2 linked regions of the Mus musculus genome follow. The protein of the gene in region 2 interacts with the protein of the main gene of each other region in a pairwise test. Links are inferred from orthologs where the notes say so. Each region holds a gene or a part of one and is shown on either strand. Other genes may lie near its edges.

Evidence for each region. The genes of interacting proteins can lie anywhere in the genome.
Region 1: the proteins of Mad1l1 (region 2) and Lgalsl interact in binary tests that used the Homo sapiens proteins (3 or more experiments, as listed by UniProt). The two-hybrid records come from large-scale screens. The link is inferred for Mus musculus from reciprocal best matches to the Homo sapiens genes MAD1L1 and LGALSL.

The regions. Positions count from the first base shown.
Region 1 is NC_000077.6:20,824,319-20,835,055, forward strand, and holds the start of Lgalsl (galectin-related protein), read right to left. Parts: upstream 6,791-10,737; 5' UTR 6,692-6,790; coding exon 6,656-6,691; intron 6,030-6,655; coding exon 5,958-6,029; intron 5,809-5,957; coding exon 5,720-5,808; intron 5,129-5,719; coding exon 4,951-5,128; intron 2,198-4,950; coding exon 2,054-2,197; 3' UTR 1-2,053. UniProt on the Homo sapiens protein: Does not bind lactose, and may not bind carbohydrates.
Region 2 is NC_000071.6:140,295,172-140,305,168, forward strand, and holds part of Mad1l1 (mitotic spindle assembly checkpoint protein MAD1), read right to left. Parts: intron 8,527-9,997; coding exon 8,402-8,526; intron 7,826-8,401; coding exon 7,744-7,825; intron 5,394-7,743; coding exon 5,263-5,393; intron 5,159-5,262; coding exon 5,044-5,158; intron 678-5,043; coding exon 616-677; intron 1-615. UniProt on the Homo sapiens protein: Component of the spindle-assembly checkpoint that prevents the onset of anaphase until all chromosomes are properly aligned at the metaphase plate.

The DNA of each region.
Region 1 (10,737 bases), on a different chromosome or scaffold from region 2:
CCAAGCAGCCTACGGGATTGGCTGCTTCTGAGTTAGCTGACAGGTAGAGAAAAGCCACTTCCAATCTTTTATACTCCCGTACCCCAAGCTTCTGCTGAGTTACACATGCTTGCCCACTCAGAAGATCCCTCGGGGGGGTGGGGGGGGGTGCTTACTGCATGAATCGAATCCAAATCTCATAAATGTTTTTCAGGGTGTGTTCTAAGTCTCTTGACAGACACTCCTCTAAAGTGGCTTTTCAACCCATGAGAAATTGCTCACAGGCTTTAAAAAAAACAAAAAACAAAATAAAAACCTGGAGCTACAAAACAGCTCTCCTGGCTGCCTGAGAAGCCATGAGAACAGAAAGTTTTTTAAGACGCAGCAGGTCTTGGTGGACAAGGCTTTGAATATAACACCATGGAACTGTGCTAAACAGTTTCAAAGTTGAGAAGAATCCAAATATATCATCTATAAAGATTCCTTATTTGAGTTTGCTTTGTTTATCTTAGACTTTGGTTCTGAAACACTGTCTACATTCTTGACACATGAAGATGACATGGTCACTTCAGTGCCTCTGCATGTTGTGTAAAAAACCTTAGAAGCGAAGGACAAAGAGGTGCCCTAATAAGACACATACACTGTACAAACAAAACCGAAATTATATATAAATACACCCCACCCAGGATCCCTTTCTTCTCCCACTACCTGCCCAAAGCAATGCCAAAGGCCCTTCTCTCTAGGACCAACGCAGGGTATGAAACACCGAGCATCTCTAACCTTGCAGATACGTTAGTCACCTGCAGCCTACTGGTGGTTCTGCAAGTGCAGGAAGCAGTTTCCCTGGAAGCATGGTCACTGTTGGCTGAGATCCTGGGACTTAATCTTTCAGATGACCTAGCTGGATCCCACCGTATCCACCAGGGAGGCAGCACTGTCTACTCAGAAGCTCCAAAGGCATTGCTTAGGGATACTGGGCAGGGTCTCAGAAGACAAAGTATACAATGAGCTAACAGCCTAGGTTGATATAAATTACTTCTCAGTAAGTAATTTGGGGCAACTTGCTTCTGCTTAACACTGCATTCTGGAACCATTTTCATAGCATACTATTAAAAACTGATATATAGTTATTTAAAAAGCTGTCTATGCAATCACCTCTTATATGCTTTCCATTAATTTAATAACAACTTAATGAGCTATTATGTAAATCTAAGGAATAGTTAGCCTTAAGGAAGCCAATACTGTGCTAATTCACAGGAAGGAGAAAAAGCAATGCAAACAAAAGTTCCCATCATCGACAAGAACTTTAGAGCTTTATCGAAGTGTTGCAAAAATGTCCCCAAAAGCACTTATAGCAATTTATGTCAAGAAGCCAAAGTTGAGGGGTAAGGGGAATATGTTCAAATTCTTTAAGGTAAAAATTCACTTATTTTATGCTTGTTATACATAAATTTCCCCCTTAGACCTAAGTTCATAATTTGTAGACATTGCTCATTCTCTGATACATTAATACATATACTAAATATAAATAAATTAATCGAGAATGCTTAAAAATCCAAGTTAACATGATGCTGTGCCAAAAACAAAACAAAACAAAACCCAAGAAAACATAAGAACCAAACCTTGCACAATCTACATTCTATGTAAATACCCTGACTAAAATGTCGGTTGTGCTACGCAATTCCACGTCAGTGCAGATTTGATGTACCGCTGTTGTTTTTAAGGTCTTTAGCACTTTTGTTTCTAAATATCACCTTGCTTTGAAATGATGAGTAATTGCTATCAAATCACAAATCATCACAAATCCATTTTAGTTTAGTCTGAATAAAAACCAGATAAATGTATTACTTTGTTCTGGGTATAATGGCTCAGTGTCTTTCTTGCGAGTTTTCTTCTTCTGGGCAAACCACAGATGAGGTTGTCACTCTGGACTTAAACTGCACAGAAAGAGACAGTGAAGTCTGTCTTTGTTTTTGTTTTCTTTTTAAGTCTCCAGATCTGGTTAGGACACTTCTTTCAGACATGTAGTTGTGGCACCTGATCGATCATATTTGAAATAGAAGTGCTTTAAACATCAGCCAAGTTTGGTGATCTGGAGGTCCCCATTGATCTTTATGGTGTCAATTGCAGATAATGTTTGAATACGGTGATAAAAATCAAAAAGTTGGTGTCCATCCACAAACACTCTGAAACGTGGGTGCTCGCAAAGAATCTCCACCTAGAAGAAACAAAAATAATAACAATGCATAATTTTGGATGAATCCTGCTGGAGTAAGGGGGAAACCAACAACATAACCACACTTCATTGTGGAGAAGATAAGCAAGGCCCACCGTAGATCTCAAACATCACAAATTGCTGAATGCTAGCTAGGGTGCAGACTGCTGGGTTCCCATTCCCCCAGCTCTCAATTCAGGAAGTCCAGAGCTCGATCTAAAAATCTGCACCCTCCCCAGTGCTAAGGCTGGAGCAGGGAACCCACTGAGAGAATCACCACTCCATACCAGTGAAAGATTTGGAACAGACAATTCCTCCCATATTCCAGGTAGAGGTGTGAAGGAGCACCAATCTCTTCACATGACACTTGATGCCAAACAAGCCATCCTACCTGCAGGGGGGCCTCTCCTGATGCATGGCTGGTAGCCCTTAGCAGCATCTAATAATAGTCTAGACAATCATGGTAAATAAACACTAAGGGAGATTACACAGTAATAAGCATTGGACCAAGAATGTGTAATTAACAAGGCTTTGTTAAAACAAACAAACACTGACTCCACATGGTAAACCTTTTCCCTCTCTTTCTCCATAATTCACCACAGAGGTTTGTTGGGATTTTGTTTGTTTGCTTGTTTGTTGAGACAGGGCTTCTTCATATAGCTCTGACTGTCCTGGAACTCACTCTGTAGACCAGGCTGGCCTCAATTTCACAGAGATCTGTCCGCCTCTGCCTCCCAAGTGCTGGGACCAAGGGTATGAGCCACCACCTCCTGGCCACCACAGAGCTTATGAATTGGCTGTGCTATGATGCTTGTAGAAAAGCATTGACAGTTATCATTAAGGGATGCCATATGTGGTATCAGTCACATTTAATTCATATTACTGCTTAAATTATACCATCAAAAAGTTCTATTTCACTCCATTTGTGTAAACTTTATTTAGAGACAAGGTTTCTCTGTGTAGCCCTGGTAGTCGTCAAACTTACTCTGTAGACCAGACAGGCCTTGAACTCACAGAGATCCACCTGCCCCTGCCTCCTAAGTGCTGGAATTGAAGGCGTGAGCCACCACCCAGCTTATTTCACTACATTTTTTTGTTGCTGGGAAGCAATGTAACCCTTCTAGTCAGTAGCTCACAATCATGAACCAGGCATAAGGATTTACCGTCTGAGATAGCTCTGTTGAGGAAATACTCGACTGGTAAGTAAGAGGACCCAAGTATAATTCTCTATTTTCCCACAAGAATGGCAGGTTCTGAATGCACCTGTAATACCAGCAGTAGAGTGGTGGGGATCTGGGCTCACTCGCCAGCCCAGTTTAGCCTAATCAGTGCGATCCAGGCTAGTGAGGGAGGCAGATGGTGGTGTTCCTAAGGATGGCACCTGAATTGCCTTCCAGTTTGCAAGCTCACACACACACACACACACACACACACACACACACGGCTTACCATGTAAGAACGTGGCATAGCAAGAGGAGCCCGCAAGGGGTTACCATTCTAAAGGAGGAGCTAAGGTAATGGGGAAACGTCCTAGATTCCGGTCGTAAGGGGAACAATCTCATTTCCTTTACTGATGTAAAAAAGTTATGGATTTTTGTTTTGTTCTAGACTCTAAGGAAAGAGAAACAGTCACGGTTCTTGAGAAGACCCACGTGAAGTGCAAGGTATCAAGAGCAGTTCTGTTTACTCTGGTCTATACGTAGCACAGAGCTTTTAACCGAGGTGCCGTTACTGACGTATGGTACGATTCATGCAGACAGCAGCCTCATCTCCAGGCCTGACCCGTACACAAGTCTGTTCTTATATTACTGACTTGCACCTCTTATTTGTCCTGCAGAGGAAGGTAGTGAGTGCTACTGCTGCCTGATGGGGTGGCAAACTGGGTTGTTTCCTGCCTGTTAGAGACTGGGAGCCAAGGAGCTCTACCCAAGCCCTAGGGAAGAAACCTGTCAGCCACACAGCTTATGACCATGAAACAGACACGCTTAATTAACCCACACGGGAAAATAGTTATACAAATATGGACTCATTAGCAAAGTGAACAAGAGAAAATGAAATGATAACCACTAAATTGTTTTAAACCCATAACTAATAAGGTTTTGAGGTATTTAGGCCAAGAAACATGAAAATTCTGGATACTTACTAATATCTAGTGATCAATCAGATACTTGGGGGTAGGTTATTTATGTGCCTCACACTATATTGGGAATTACACAGAAAATTATTACTACATTAATACCCCAGCTTGACCTGATGGCATAGGCCTGTAATCTAAAATACTCTGTAAACTGAGCCAGGAGGATTACAAATTCAAGGCCAGCCGGGGAATTTAGAGAGTTCCTGTTTCAAAACAGAAATCAAAACGAGGATTGGGAGTGTAGCTAAGTTGTAGAAACCTTAACTAATGTGCACAAGGTTCAGTCCCTAGCACCACCCCAGAAGTTAACAATAATTAATACCTCCGCACTGGCTAAGTAGAATTACAGTTAAGTACTTAGCAATTAGGTATGCATATATGCATCCATTAACTAAACATATGGTCTGAAGAGAATCAAGAGCTACTAAGGCAAGCATTAACATCTATCAGCAAACAGACTTCTTTTGTTGTTTTTTATTCTTTTCTCTCGGCCTCGAGACAAGTTCCGGGCAACAAATTTCTTGGACATGAAGAAATTCTTAAAGAGCTCTTGGCACACAGTAGATACAGAGTAAGTAGGGGCCCTGCCAACACTGCATCAGGCACTCAAGGTACCTACCCTGAACGGCTGGTCTGGGATGAATGGAAAGTAAGGGATTGCCGACTGCTCCTCGCCTCTTTCTCCTGAGATACAAGAGTTTCTGAGCAGCTGCCGGTCTGTGAACACAGCTTTGAGTTCAATTGCCACATCGGCAGGAGGATCTTCAGAGTCTCCACAGGTCAAGCTGATGGCAAAGCTAAAAAGAAAACAGTGTCACTTAGCCAGGAGTCAGATGTAACATTTTAACTTGACCCAGTTCCTCCTCCAGTGGGTTCATCGGCTTTTAATGGGCTGCTACTGTTTACACAGTTTAAACACAGACACTAAGGATTACACTCAAACCAATAGATTTTGTTACCTAAAGTAGGCTCTGGTGAAAACTCCAGTGGAACTGAAAATAATTACAACTGAAGACTTCAAATGCCTCAGGCCACCCTTGCATTAATCCATCTCAGAGTTCTCAAAAACAGCCACAGAACTTGACAAGGGAAACATCTTGTAAGTTTGGTTCTTATTTATTCTAACAGGTTTGGTTACGACTACCGTGTTTCAAAACCATAAAAAAAGAAGTCTTTTGGCCTTCTCAAGGGTCAAAGATTAACTGTAGGCCTATTTTTATCATCACTGATATAAATAGCTATCTGCAGAGATGATGGCTAGGATTGATACACATTCTTTTCATGGGAACATGGTACTTTCTTGGCACTCCTAACTAGTGACACTGTGCAAGTAGGGTAAGGGGAGGAGGCAGCCGCGGGACTCAGCAATGGCAGGGCTCTGCCCTTACCTTTCGGGGTTGAGATCTACGATGCCCATCACTAATACCTTCTTGCCTGGTCTCATGCCACCTTTAATGTGCCCACAAAATGGAACTATCTGCAAAGGAAGAGGGGAGAGACAGGATGTTTATGGGCTGTTAGAGACGAGCCAAACCCTCAGCCCTGAGAATCAGACCCATTAGAAAGCAAGGAAATGCACCAGAGGGGAAAAGGATAAAGGCAGAGACACGGAGCACATTGATTTACCAGTCGTGGGAAGTACACGTCGGCTTGAACTGGAGAACCCAAGGAGTTGTTTAAGTGCCCATCATCAAGTTTCTAAAAATAGAAGCACACAGATTGGCTTTCCACAGACCCTTGTTTATTAGGGAGTGAATGGAAGGATGAGGAATCAACACAAATCTGTAGTGATCCAGCAGCCCTCCACAGACACACATACATATGATGCCTCTTTATAGCCCATTAAATAACCGCGAAACAAAACCCGGCCTTTCCATCCGGTCTAAGCCTCTGATGATCCCCAGGCTCTTGAGACCGGATCAAATTCAAGGTCGCGGCCCACCCGGGAAGCAAAGCCCGTGTAGGTGGGCGGCAGGCCCCTCTCCAAGCACAAACGCTCCCGGAGTCTCTGCCCCCTGGCCTGTCCTCGGGGACGTGGCTGGAGTGCAGCGGCAGCGCTCGGCTTCTCTCCGGAGCCCCCGGCGCGGGACCGTTTCCAAAGGGGTAAATCCCGGACGCCGGGACCGCGGCCCCACACTAACCCACGTGCACGCACACGCGCCCAGCGCGCACCTGGCCGGCGCCCTCCTGCCCCGCGCCCGGGGCCCCCCGAGCTCGCACCCCGCGGCGGCTGACAGGTACCGCGCTTCCCGCGGCACCGCGGGTCCGTAGTCCTTGCCCCGGCCCTCTGAGCTACCCGCCTCGCGGGAGGCCGCTGCACTCACCACCACGGCGTCGCTGTCGGCCACCGACCCCGCCATGTTCCTGCAGCGAGCGCCGGGGACGCGGCGGCGGGCGCGGGTCCGAGCCGGGCGCGCGCACACACGGGCGCGCGTGCACGCCCCAGGCTGGCGCGGCCGCAGGCCCGGGAGGGGGAAGGGAGGCGGGCGGCGCGGAGATCGCGGCGGCGAGGGGATGACGGTGGCGAGGGCCGCAGTGCGTTGGCCTGGGGTGGCATTTAAAGGCGGCAGGGCTCGGCTCGGGAACCGAGAACCGGGAACAGGGCGGGGACGGGGCCCGGGAGCCGCGGCTTGCTAAGCGTGCCCTGCCCTACGGCCATTGGACCACGGCTGAAGGCCGGAGGGCGGTGGCCTGTCGGCGGGAAGGTGGGTGGGGCTGGGGAAAGGGGTGAAGGGAGGGCCCAGGTGGGCCAGGTGACAGGTGCTGGGGACACTCCTGGTCGGTACCCTACTCACTCACCTCCTTCCGCATCCTGGGGGACTGTGGGGGTGGATCAGGAGTGAGGTCGAGAGAAGGTGGAGGACTCCAAAGAGGAAGACCTGGTATGGCTTCTTTCAGAGAATTCCAACCTAGTGGGAGGAAAGATAGTTGCACTGTTTGGAGGAGAAGGAGAATGGAGGTCCAAGGCTTGTACATATTTGACCCTAAATAAAGAAGCAGCCAGGACTCTAGGGGGACAGTTTGCTGAGCGCCGACCAACCCTCTGTTCCCAGGGAAGCGCAGGCTAGTGTCGGGGTCCCGGAAGCATTCTTCAGCAGGTGCCCGGCCAAGCCGCAACTTGAAGTGGACACAGTTTCTGTCCTTAGCTATTTTACGTCACTTGCTTAGTTTGGGGTAATGGAGTCTCCAGTCCTTCTTTGTGTAATACTTCCTAGGGAATACACTCCTCTTTCACGCTAAGGCTCAGACTCCTGTAATGGTATCCTGACACTAGCATAATTATGTAACTTCTCAGATAAGGCTGTATCAACATACTCTCTATTAGGTGACATACTCGGCTTGCCCAATGCACTGTGTGAATCACCACACTAATAAGCAAGGAGCTTGAGCAAGTGAGCTGCTACAGTCCCAGAGGGGCCCTTTGGGGGACCTGGCGTCTCTGCAGCTTTTGTGTCCCTTTATGGACCAGTGCTAATCATGGTAATCTCTGTGGGACAGGGAACATGCCTGTAATCCACAGTCGGAGCCTTTGTGGAAGTGGTTCTCAGAATTAGAGACTGAAGAGTTGTCATTGTGGCTCCCATTTTGCTCCTGTTTACTCATCTGAGCTTGAGAATCACACCTATTAATTATTCTAACATACTAGGCAATTACAAGAAACTTGATATTTTAAAGTCATACTTTGATTCTCTGAATTTCTAAGAGTCAGCATAGGGAAAAAATCATTGAATTATTTGCTATTAGCTAAGCGTGGTACAATATATCATGGTTATTATAAAGGGCTGGTGTCTTGGGTCCAAATTTAGTTTCTTATTACTGATAGTAGCGTGCCTTAATTTCTTCATCAGACATGATAATAATTACTACGATGATCCTATCTTGAATTACTGTGAAGATTAATAAATTGGTTCACACACCTTCCCCAGAAGAACACTCAGCACATTCTAAGCAACAGTTTTGAGTGTCTGCTGTTGACCAAGAGCTGAGAATTAGCAGGGGCATTGCTGAAATTACATTGTAGCGAGGAGAGGCAGACATAAGCAAACTTGCAAGTATATAGGTAGTAAGACAGAAAAATAAGGCGGGGAGGAGGAGAGTGCAGGATGATGCTATTAAAGTAGGGTAGTCTGGGAAAGTGACATTGAGAATTCTGAAGGAGGGAGGGAGAAAGGGAGGGAGGAAGGGAGGGACAAAGGGAGGGCTGGCTCAACCTCCAGAAGAGGTTGCTGGCTCAGGAACTGTAAAGATAAAGTTTGCAAGATGGGACCTGTAGATTAATGCTGGACATGTGGAGCAGAAGTGAAGGCTGAGGTCTTGGAGACACCTTTTACTTGAAGGGAACAGAAAGACACTGGAAGTTTCTGAGCCAGGGAGAGGAGGTTTGGTTTTGGAGGTTCTGGGGAGCAAACCCATGGCCTTGTATGTGCAGGGCAAGCATACTGGCACTGAGTCACATCATGGACCTGTACTCTCTGATGTTGACGCATCCCTGTAGCTGATGTAACAAGGGCCAGAGAACAGGCAGCATGTAGCCAGGGCAGGAGGACAGGAGGAGGGGGCTCAGGTTCTGTGTACCTGCATCTGTGCTCACAGATTTCTGACATTGTGAGGAGACCATTGCCTGCAGCTGGGCCACCACCCTGCCCAATTGCTCTAAGAACTGGGACTCAACAAAGATTTGCAAAATATCCCACTGCTGAGGTTTGTTATCCCATGATGCTGATTCCCTCAGACTCCCACTGGGAAGGGAAGCCACAGCCCACTCTAACAAACAGGGCCCCACACACTGCTCTAAGTCCATTAGGCACTTAGTTTTTAATAACTGTTTTTGTCAAGCCAGTCTCCACTCTTATGAGCAACATTCACACAAGAAAAAAAAAAAAATCTCCAAACTCAGCATTCTTTGATTGCCTACTTAGGTAGGAGGGCACAACTTATCAAACAACTTTTCTGTATTTCAAAACATGATTACAGGTTTTAATTATTTTAGGAACTATGGCCTAGTTATCAAATGATTCTTTTAGACATACACAGAATTTTCTCATACCCAAACAATTAGGAGAATGCTGTAAAACTTGGCAGTCAACACTAGTTTTGAACATTTCATTAACTTCGGTTATTTATGGGGAAGCTAGATTCAGCCTCCGGTGTGTGTTTTAATTACAGACCAAAATAAAAGCCTCCCTCTGAAGAAGATGGTCATGACCCATTCCCTAGAGGAGCGTGGGGCTTCAAAGATGCAGTTCCATGTCCCCTTGTCCCCTTCCACATGGCAACAGAAGCCTGGCAAGGAGGAGGCAGAGGACCCTGCTTCTGCCTTCAGAGCTGGTGCTGTGAACAGGAGGTGTTTGGAGACTCCTCACAGCCAGATTAGTGCCTGTTCTGGGAGTCGCTGCCACGTACCCAAGCCTTCTCTCCAGCTTACCTTCAGCGATTTCCAAGAGACCACTGACCTGAGTCCAGTGCTTGATCTGCCAGAGTGTGACAGGACTGTGTGACTGAACCTGAAGTCTAATTACATCTCTTCATTGTTTCTGGACACTTCTGGTTGCATTTGTTGGCACGTAGTCCTCCCTTTTGTTGTTTTTATGATTTTATTTTATTTTTTTATTTGGTGGTTTAAAGGGCTTTTTCATCTTGTAGTTTTGCAGAAACTTGCCTGGTTTGGCTAGAAGGAAAGAGACATTCTGTCCCCTGGGGATTTAGACGCCCTGACCCACAGGAGGGAAAACGGGAAGCATCTACCTGGCTCTCAGGAGTTGGAGAGGAAATGTCTAGCTGACACAGACCTCCAGCCTCCTTCAAAGCTGGAAACTAACAGCCCAGCTTCTACAAGGAACATGGAAGTTTAAGTTTGATATCTACAGTGAATGTCCATGTACTTTGCATATCTAGCAGTTCATTGAGCTGGGCTGTGCTTTAATTGCTATTTTGTTAATGTTGTACTTTCATAAAAAAGACTAAGCATGGTGGCAAAGGTCTTTAATCCCAGCACTGGGGACGCAGGGGCAGACAGATCTCTTGTGAGTTCAGTGACCAGCCTGGTCTATGTATCAAGTTCCTCAGGTAAGCCAGGACTACATAGTGAGACCACCCTCTGCCCCTGGCAAGACAACAATGCAAAACCCTGAGAGCAAAGTCAAAACCAAGCACACACACATCTTCACTTAAAGCGCCTAGCTCTGAGTATGGTAAGGACACCACTGTTACCATAATGCTGGGGCTAAGGACACACCATTCCAAAATAGTCCACCCACAGGGTAGCTCTTTGGCATATTTCAGCTGGTTTATCCTGAGAATTTGCAGTTAGGAGTAGCTCTGAAAAAAAAAATTCACCTATTGTACTGGCTAGTTTTGTGTCAACTTGACGCAGCTGGAGTTATCACAGAGAAAGGAGCTTCAGTTG
Region 2 (9,997 bases):
GGGTGACAGCCAGACCAAGACTCAGGGATCACAGCTGTTGATGGCAGCTGAGAGTCAACCCAAAACTGAACTACAAATGCATCAGGCCATCAGTGAATGACACCTCACAACTGTACAGATGGGAAAGCCACAGGGAACACCCTGCCCTTGCTATGTGTTGAACACACAGTGCCCAGCATCTCTGCCCTGTGATCCACTCTGCATTTCTGCACTCATACCTGACACAGACCAGTAACATGAGATGCTCCAAAGGACCCAGTGGGACATGAATCTTCCAGTATTATTGGGTTTTAACTCAGTCAGTCAATCCCCAAAGTTTATCATTTTCCCCCAAAGCAGTGACTTCCTTACATGCACTGGGTCCTGTGAGCATGCAGGCCATTGCAATGCCCTTTCCCCACCATCAGCTCTGTGGAGATACAGATTCTCAACAGTCTTTACAGTAAGGCTCAATCGCCCTGCCATGTAAAGCACTCATTAAGCCTAAACAAGAGCTCCTCACCACAGCACAAGAAGGAGCCTGCCTGCCCTGTCCTCTGCAGACTCTGAGCCAGGAGGCAGAAGAAAGCACTGGAAGCCAGCAGCCAGGGGTGAAGACAGCAACAGCTTACCTACCTGAGATTCAAGCCCATGGTCTGGTCCAGGTTCTCCCAGCTCTGCAGCTTTGCAAGTAGCTTCTAGAAAGACAGTTATAGCCATCAGTATCTCTTGCCCAGCAACTGTCATGTGAAAGCAAACAATGACAAAGGTACTGGAGTCTCCCATCCTATCTGTGATCACAGGTGGTTAGGTGATCTTAGCAGATGAAGGTACATGACTGGCCTAGGCCTTGCTCCTTCCTGCCCCATGGTGCAAGTCCAGCCAAATTAGCCAGGAGCCTCTTTCAGAAAGCTAAGTCCTAGAATGCTAAGTCCTAGACCTACTGACCGACAAACTCTGTTCTAGAGCCACGGTTTCCCTAATTCTATGGTAGGCCAGGACCAAAATGACTTAGATGCGGGCTAGCAAGCCATGAGGAGGAAACAGGGTCATCTATGCCCGTGTGCCTGCTCCAGACCAGCTTGATTCCCACAAAGTCTCTCTCCCTACCCCTTTGGAGCTGAAATGAATATGTGCTTCAGATCAGCCCCATCTTTAGGGGGCCAGCACATAGCTGATACCAAGGGTTCACTCATGATTCTGGACCTACCAGCCCTGCAGATCCAAAGCTGCAAGATCTCTATGCCACAGGATATCTGAGAGGAGTTCCGGTCAGGAACTAATAGTGTAGCAGAAGCCAGAGACCTCAAACCAGCCAAATGACTCTTTGCAATGAACACTACAGTTCCTACAACAATTCTTTCTTTTTGGGGGGAAGTTACAAGGGCAGAGGGCAGAGGACAAAGAGATGAATGGAATTGGGGTTCATGATATGAAATTCACAAATTCAACAAAAAGTTAAATAAAATTGTTTTTAAAGGTTCTCGGCCCACAAGGCATGCCCCATGGCTTTAATCCCAGAACTCTGGAGGGAAAAGCAAGCAGACCTCTGAAAGTCCAGAGACAGCCTGGTCTACATAGGAAGTTCCAAGCCAGCCAAGAATAATACTGACAAAAAAACAAAAAACAACCTGTGCCCAGCTCATGTTTTCATACTGTCAACTTTTCATTTTGCAAAGTTTCCAATTTTGATAAAATTCAAATTATCATGTTATTTTTTCTTTATAAATAATTGTTGTAAGTTATAGCTAAATAGTCAATATAAAACCTAAGATATTATAAATGTTATTTTATTTGCTTCTATAGTGGAAGAAACATATGCATAGTTTCCTATTTTACATTTAGAGCAGACTTTGGTATAGCATTTAAGGTATGGACTCACCTTTTAAACTCAGATGGATATTTAATTTTTGTGAACAATCTGTTGATTGGCCTTTCAACTCTCCCTTAAAAAGCTTTTGGAGATTTGTTAAATAAAAACTAACTAGACTTTTAAAAAAACAAACAAACAAACAAAAAAACCTGTGCCCAGGACGGGCAGCATAGCGAGGGCCAGCAAGATAAAGGAGCTCATTACCATGCCTGGCGACCTGAGTCTGAGCCCCAGAATACACACAGTGGGAGAAAACTTACTCTCACAAATTGTCCTGGAAAATCCACACAAACACCACTGCACATGCACACACTTGCTCTTTCCCACATACATACAGATATACACACACAAGCACACATATATATATGCATATACACACACACACAAAATGTATATACATTGTGGCACATGGGTTCACTTTTTCTCACATACATACACACACACATATCTACATACACATATACATTGTGGCATGTGCACTCATTTTTTTCTCACATGCATACCTACACATACACACATATATACATACATACACACATACACTAAGACACATGTACTCACTCTTTCTAACACACACACATACTCACACACACAAACATAAAATAAAAACTTTAAAAGGGTGGGACAGCTGCTCAGCTACTAACTTTTCCACCACCAGCATTACAGGACACTGTTCCCAGCTAGGCCCTGACCACTTTTCACAGGTGGGCATGGATAGACCCAGTGTCAACAGCAAGCACACTTCCATATAGGACTTCAAGCTAAGCGCCCTAAACCTCAAAACTGTCAAAGACAAACAAACAAAAAACATTACATCCAGGTGTGATATAAATTATGTTGGTAAATGTCATGTGCTGTTTGCATGACATTTGGGCTCATGAAAGTGGGCTCACGGACCAAGGTGGCCTTCATTATCTCAGAGTCCAACCAGTTTATGTCAAGATCTGGGACAGGCTGGCCCCTGGTCCAGCAACAAGGAGAAACGAGAACTACAAGCTGCTATGAATTATGACATTACAAAATCTTGGTGCCTGCCCAGTAGTGGAACTCAGGAAGCAGAGGTAGGTGGATCTGAGTTCGAGGCTAGCCTAGTCTATAGAGTTAAGTTCCAAAATAGCCAGGGATACACAGAGAAACCCTGTCTGGGGGGCTAGGGGTGGGGGCTTAAGAATAGCTAAAGGGGAGCCGGGCGTGGTGGCGCACGCCTTTAAACCCAGCACTCGGGAGGCAGAGGCAGGCGGATTTCTGAGTTCGAGGCTAGCCTCGTCTACAAAGTGAGTTCCGGGATAGCCAAGGCTATACAGAGAAACCCTGTCTCGAAAAACCAAAAAAAAAAAAAAAAAAAAAAATAGCTAAAGGGGGAAGCATCCAACAAAGGTAACCACTGCTTATTCATGGTATAAAAATTCCTGTTGTGGGAGTGTGAAGCCGAAAGCCTCAGCCATGCAGAGACACTGTACCCACAACAGTCTCCTGGGACCCCAGCAGGACTTCTGAGCTGTCTCTGTGGGATGCTGTAAGCTCTCAGTGAGCTGCTTTGCACTGTCTGCTGCATCTCTAGCTGCTGCTTATTATACTGCTCGTTTACCTTTGCTTGCTCTATACTTAACTCCCTCATGCAAGAATAAAAGAATGGCTCTCTGGACAGAATGCCAGAGGAAAGGACAAAAGAAGTTCCAGGTCTTTTTGCCTATAAAGCCAGTGTCCAAGAGAGGCCTGTCTGGGACAGCACAAATAGATAGGAACTGCAGCACGGGCTGGTCACAGAGAACTCTCTGGTGCCAACAGAAACTCATCTGGCTTGGACTTCTAAAAGAAGCCAGAGATGGAGCTTGGGAGATGGTTCAGTCAAGCAAACAGATTATCACACAAGCATGAAACCTGCATTCACTCCCTAATGCTCATTTAACAAAAACTGGGCATAGAACAAACACCTAAAATCCAATGCTGGAGGAGAACAGATAGGCAGAGCTCACTGATCACCCAGCCTAGCTGAATTAGCTAGCCCCAGGTTAAGAGTGAGGCCATCTCAAAACAAAAGGAGAGGCTTCTGAGGCTCTAATACAATGTAGGAAAATAGCCATTGCTATTGGTTGACCACCAGAATTACATAGTAAGATGTTGTTGCTAAAGACAGCACATGCCATCAAGAACAGATAAATCAAGCTAGAACTGAGCTAGAAGCTTCCTCCCTGCTAGCAAGTCTTTGGAGGTCTGCAAGATACTATGCAGGCCGATGGGAAAAACTGTCTTTAACAGTCTTACCCAGCTTTAGAGCCTGTGTGCACAATAACAAGCAGCCAAAATGAGCCTACATGTGCAACAATGGCAGGTATGTTACCAGGGTAACCAACTGCTTTCTAATTGGATTTGATGCTCACTCCAGAAGAGGGAACCCCATCTGGTACTGTAAACCCAGTCAAAAGCTCATGGCTGAGGACAGACCTCAGTACAGAAGCAACAGCTATTGTGTGTAGTGAGTCTGTCAAGTTGCCTTCTAAGCAGCTACACTTATGCCCATAAAATATGTATCACTGTGAGCTTTAATCAAAGAAGCTCCTATTTGCAACAGGCAGCAGTGACTGCAGAATCTCATAACTGATTGTACTACCCACCACACAAGCACGGCATCCCCACAGCTGACCAACTACAACGTGTAATGGAGAATCTCATAACTGATTGTACTACCCACCACACAAGCACGGCATCCCCACAGCTGACCAACTACAACGTATAATGGAGAATCTCATAACTGATTGTACAACCCACCACACAAGCACGGCATCCCCACAGCTGACCAACTACAACGTGTAATGGAGAATCTCATAACTGATTGTACTACCCACCACACAAGCACGGCATCCCCACAGCTGACCAACTACAACGTGTAATGGAGAATCTCATAACTGATTGTACTACCCACCACACAAGCACGGCATCCCCACAGCTGACCAACTACAACGTGTAATGGAGAATCTCATAACTGACTGTACTACCCACCACACAAGCACGGCATCCCCACAGCTGACCAACTACAACGTGTAATGGAGAATCTCATAACTGACTGTACTACCCACCACACAAGCACGGCATCCCCACAGCTGACCAACTACAAGGTGTAATGGAGATGCTCAGGGTGCTCCGGCCAGGGCAGAGGACGGCCCCGGAGAGACAACTCACCCACTACTCACCTCCTTTTCCAACTCCAGGTCAACCAGAGCCTCCTGCATCTTCTCCTGCCGGCTCAGTTTCCTCTGCAGACCTTCCAGCTCCTCTGTGAGCAGCCCATTGGTCTCCTTCATCTCCCTACAGGGCCAGAACAGTCACGCACGTGGAGGACAAGCCCCAGGGACACCAAGCCCAGGGCCCAACTACCAACTAGGGGCAGCAGGCTGTGCATGAGCCCTCACCTTAGATGAGTGTTCTCTTCATGCAGCCTCTTCAGCTCACGCTCCATCCTGGGCATCCGCATCAGCTCAGACTTCATGCTCTTCACCACAGCTGCATCCTGCTCTTGTAGACACAGCTTCTGCTCCAGGTCCTGTGAGAGAGAGAGAGAGTAAGCAGCCAGAAGAACTGCACACACAGCCTCTGTAAAACAGAGAGGCTGGGCTGAAAGACATGCAGGTCTTCAACCACGGAATGATCTGGAGAAGGCAGACAGACAGACATGGAGATCATGACAGTCAGTTTAAGAGAAGACACAAAAAAATGGAGGTGTCAGAAGCTAGGGAACCTGCTCGGTCAGTAATCACTTGCCATGCAAGAAAGTATGAGGCCCTAAATCCCCTCAATGCTTCCTAACACACACACACACACACACACACACACACACACACACACACACACTTTTTTTTTTTTTAAAGACTGGTATAGTAACACAGGCTTTTAATCTCAGCACTCAGGAGGCAGAGACAAGTGGATCTCTGTGAGTTCAAGGTCAGCCTGGTCTACATAGTGATTTCCAGAACAGCCAGGGCTACATAGAACGACTTGCAGAAATAAATAAAGGAAGGAAGGAAGGAAGGAAGGAAGGAAGGAAGGAAGGAAGGAAGGAAGATAGATAGATAGATTAAATGAAAAACAAAGCCAACCAGACCTGTCCAGAAAAGAAAAAAGTAGATAACATCCTAAGGAACAACACTGACCCCCAGCATACATGTCAAACTCACAACTATCTGTAACTCCAGGCCCAGGGGATATGACGTCTCTGGCATGCCCGTACACCCGCATTCACACACACATTCTTACACATACATACCTACATATATACCTAATTTTTAATTAAATAAGCCTTTCTCTTTTCTTTTCTTTTTTCTTTTTTTTTTTTCTTTTCTTCTCTCTTTTTTTTTTTTTCCCTCGGTTTTTCGAGACAGGGTTTCTCTGTGTAGCCCTAGCCATCCTGGAACCCACTCTGTAGACCAGGCTGGCCTCGAACTCAGAAATCTGCATGCCTCTGCCTCCCCAAGTGCTGAGATTAAAGGTGTGTGCCACCACTGCCCGGCTGCCTCTTTTTTTCTTTTTTCTTTTTTTTTTCCTTTTTTTTTTTTTTCTTTTTTTAAGCAAAGCAAAGGTCTTCTAACTTGTCCTAGGACCTCAATGGTCTCCACAGTCCAGACAGTGTAGGAAGTGTTCCAAGGCTAACCCGCTATGCTGCATCCTCAACACCACCTCTGGAGCAGCACTGGAGCACCCAAGAGCCAGTACCCACACCACTGTCCCTCTTGCCTGTGCCTGGCCACACACCATCCAGCCCTCTGGTCCCCAACGGTTCAGTGCCACAGGCCCCTCTGGCCCGCTGTGGTCAGCTTCTGCCACGTGGGTGGTGAACCTGCAACCCTTGCATCTGTTCCCACTGTGCAGCAGGCGTACCTACACTGCACCTGTCACTATGACTCTCAACAAGGTAGCACAGGAACCTAGTGACAAGTCACTGAACAAGCTATATATAAAACCAGGACCAAAACAATTGATCAGGACCCTTCATAGAGCCCAGCTCCATCCAGGTAGAGTCAAGTAGTGGGAACAAAGAGACAGAGAAGACCAACTGGTCAACCTCTATGCACAAGGGAATTGTGAGAGGTAAGAAGGTTGGACTCGGGCCTAGGGAGAAGGCTCAGCAACTAACAATACTTGCTGCTCTTCCAGAGGACCCAAATTCAGTTCCTAGCATCTGGTTAGGCAGCTAGCATCTTAACTCCAATTCCAGGCCTCTTCTGATCTCTGCAGACACCCATACCCACACATATAAAAATAAAAATTGATCTTTAAGCAAATAAGTCCAAAAGACAACAGAGCCAGGTAAAGCAGTGCCAGAGGCACAAGGAGCAGAGCCTACTGCCTTGGTGCTCACACCACACAGAGAGGGAGACAACTGACACAGTCTCCTTCCCAGGACTGGCTATCACAGTAAAGGCAACAGGAAACCATGGAAGGGAGGTCTCGGCGGCGGCACCTCTCCAGCAACACCCACCAGAATAAAGGAGGCTGAACTTAAATCAGAGCCCTGGAGTGGTGATCTCGCTCGGCCATGCTTAGCTGTGCAGACTTGCACAGGATCTCCACCCCCAACTCTACTTCATGGAGCACTCGCTCTCAAACTCATAGTGTCTCATCTTGGCCTCTGTGGCTGGGCTCTCTAAGCCTAGATTGCAGTCCTCTGTGTTAGCCTTTTCCCATGGATTTCTAGTGGGTCGTCATCACTGGGGCACTTGAGCACTCACTGTGGCCTCCAAGGAGCCAGCACAGGGCCTGGCATCCACAAGGCAATCAGCATGCATCCTCATATGCCACTGAGCACACGTCTAGGCAGGAAGGTGTGTGAGTGACAGGAGGGCTGTCCCACCCCTGCCTGGTATAGGAAGCTGCACAGTCTGGCAGGAAGCATCTACCTTAATCTTCTGCTCATGCTCAGCTCTCTCATCTTGACTGGCCTGCAGCTCCTGGATCTTCTGATTTGCCTCTTGCCATTTCCTGTGAGAGAAGTACATGCAAGGTCAGTCCATAATGCCACTTTAACCTTACCCCTAGCCTGGACACACACACACACACCCCTTATCCAGGGAACCTCAAGTCCTAAGCCAACCTTTAAGACTGTGACATTGTCTGATGGGGCTACAAGGGAGCCCAGGCTTCCTGTGGCACGACCTAGTTCTCTATCCACCACTCAATCCACAGTGTCTGCTAGCCTGGCGTCACAGCAAGCATCAGAGGCCACCCAGGCCTGCCCACACTAAGGGTACAATCCTAAGGCAATGCCTGCCCTAGGGTAAGGGCCAGACCTTCAAGGCAGAATCCAAAGGCTCCTGACTGCCACCCACTAGCTACCACATATCTGTGTCCTCTGTGACCTAGAACAGCTTGCCCAAGCACAGCAGCCCACGCCCTCAAAAACCTAGCGTAGCTTCGTCCCTCTGTGGAAGCCAGTCCCAGGAAGAAGGGAACGAGGCTGTCACCGTCTTATTCTGACACACACTTCCCAAGTCCAGAGGCCTCGCTGTGTCCTCCATGCAGCCTTTGGACTGTCTTAGCGACTGGTCAGGCTCTCACCGCTGCTGCAGCTCCAGCTGCTCCTTCAGCTCCTGCTTTTCAGACTCCAGCCGCTTGACCTGTACCTTCTGGTCCATGGCACTCAACTGCAGCTCCGAGACACGCCCCTTCAATGAACTAATCATCTGGAAGTTAAGAAAGCAAAACTGGCTGCTCAGTGAGGCCCCAACTGCACGCAGACAATGAACCAAAAGTACCCAAGCACAGCTCTCCCTCACTGAGACCAAAGAGAAAGGAAGGGCAGTGTGCCTCCATGTGCTGCTCAGGACAGAACAGAGCCCCCTGTCCTCGAAGCATGTGGCGAGTAGACAACACTGTCTCTCATGAGCATCCCGGCTCAATGCCTGCCTTGTGCTCCACACCACTGACACAGATGAGGGTCAGAGCCTCTAGGGAAGCTGGTCCTAGCTACGTCTGATACTCTAAAGTCTATTAGCCTCCATACAGGGTACCACATCCAGCATCCTGGACCCCACATGTCTACTTCAGCATTTTCCACACCTCGGACCTCCATCACACTCCAAGCCTCCATAGCATCTGCATGTCAACATTCCAACATAACGTAACCCAGGATGGAAAGACAGCAAGGTCCTGGCCAAGATGTAGGTCATCATCAGAACTTAGCTTCAGAGCTCAGCTGGTGAAGCAGGCCTGTTAAGACAGCTACTTGGGAGGCTGAAGCAGGTGAGTTAAAAGTTTAATCGCCATGAAGGCTACAGAGTAGGTTCAAAGCCAATCTGAGCAGCTTACTGAGAACCTATCTCAAAATAAAAACTCAAAAGAAGGTAAAGCACAAGGCACACATCTCTAATCCTGGCGCTCAGAGGCAGAAGCAGGAGAACTATATGGGTCTAAGGCCGGCCAGCGCTCTAGAGTAAGATCTTGGCTTAAAAAATAAATGAATAGCCGGGCATGGTGGCGCACGCCTTTAATCCCAGCACTCAGGAGGCAGAGGCAGGCGGATTTCTGAGTTCGAGGCCAGCCTTGTCTACAGAGTGAGTTCCAGGACAACCAGGGCTACACAGAGAAACCCTGTCTCGAAAAATCCTAAATAAATGAATGAATGAATGAATGAATGAATGAATGTTGAAAACAGATATATATAAAAGTTGAAAACAGAGATAGGGCCCAGTTGTTAAGAGCACATACTACTCTTCCAGAGCACCCGGATTCAGTCCCCAGCACTCACACCGGGTGGCACACCTGTCTGTAATGCCAGCTCTGGGGAACACAATGCCTCCAGCACACAGCTTCCATGAGCACCTATATTCACATGCATAAACCTAACAAACTCACTGCTTCCCCACGAGTGTCTTTTGTCCCTTACAGGGGAAGAGCAGACATAGCCTAGGGAGAAAAGTCTCTCAACATTATCTTTGGCTATATAGCTAGTTTGAGGCCAGCCTGAACTACATAAATCCCTGACACGAAAAAAAGAAAAACAGAAAGAAAGAAAAAAACTAAAAAAAGAAAGAAAAGAAGGGGGAGACAGGCAGACAATCACCAGGGCTGGTGGGACAGCTCAACTGCAAAGCACTGGCCACTCAGAAAGGACTCACATAAAGCAGGGGGAAAGCCAACTTCACCATCGGCCTC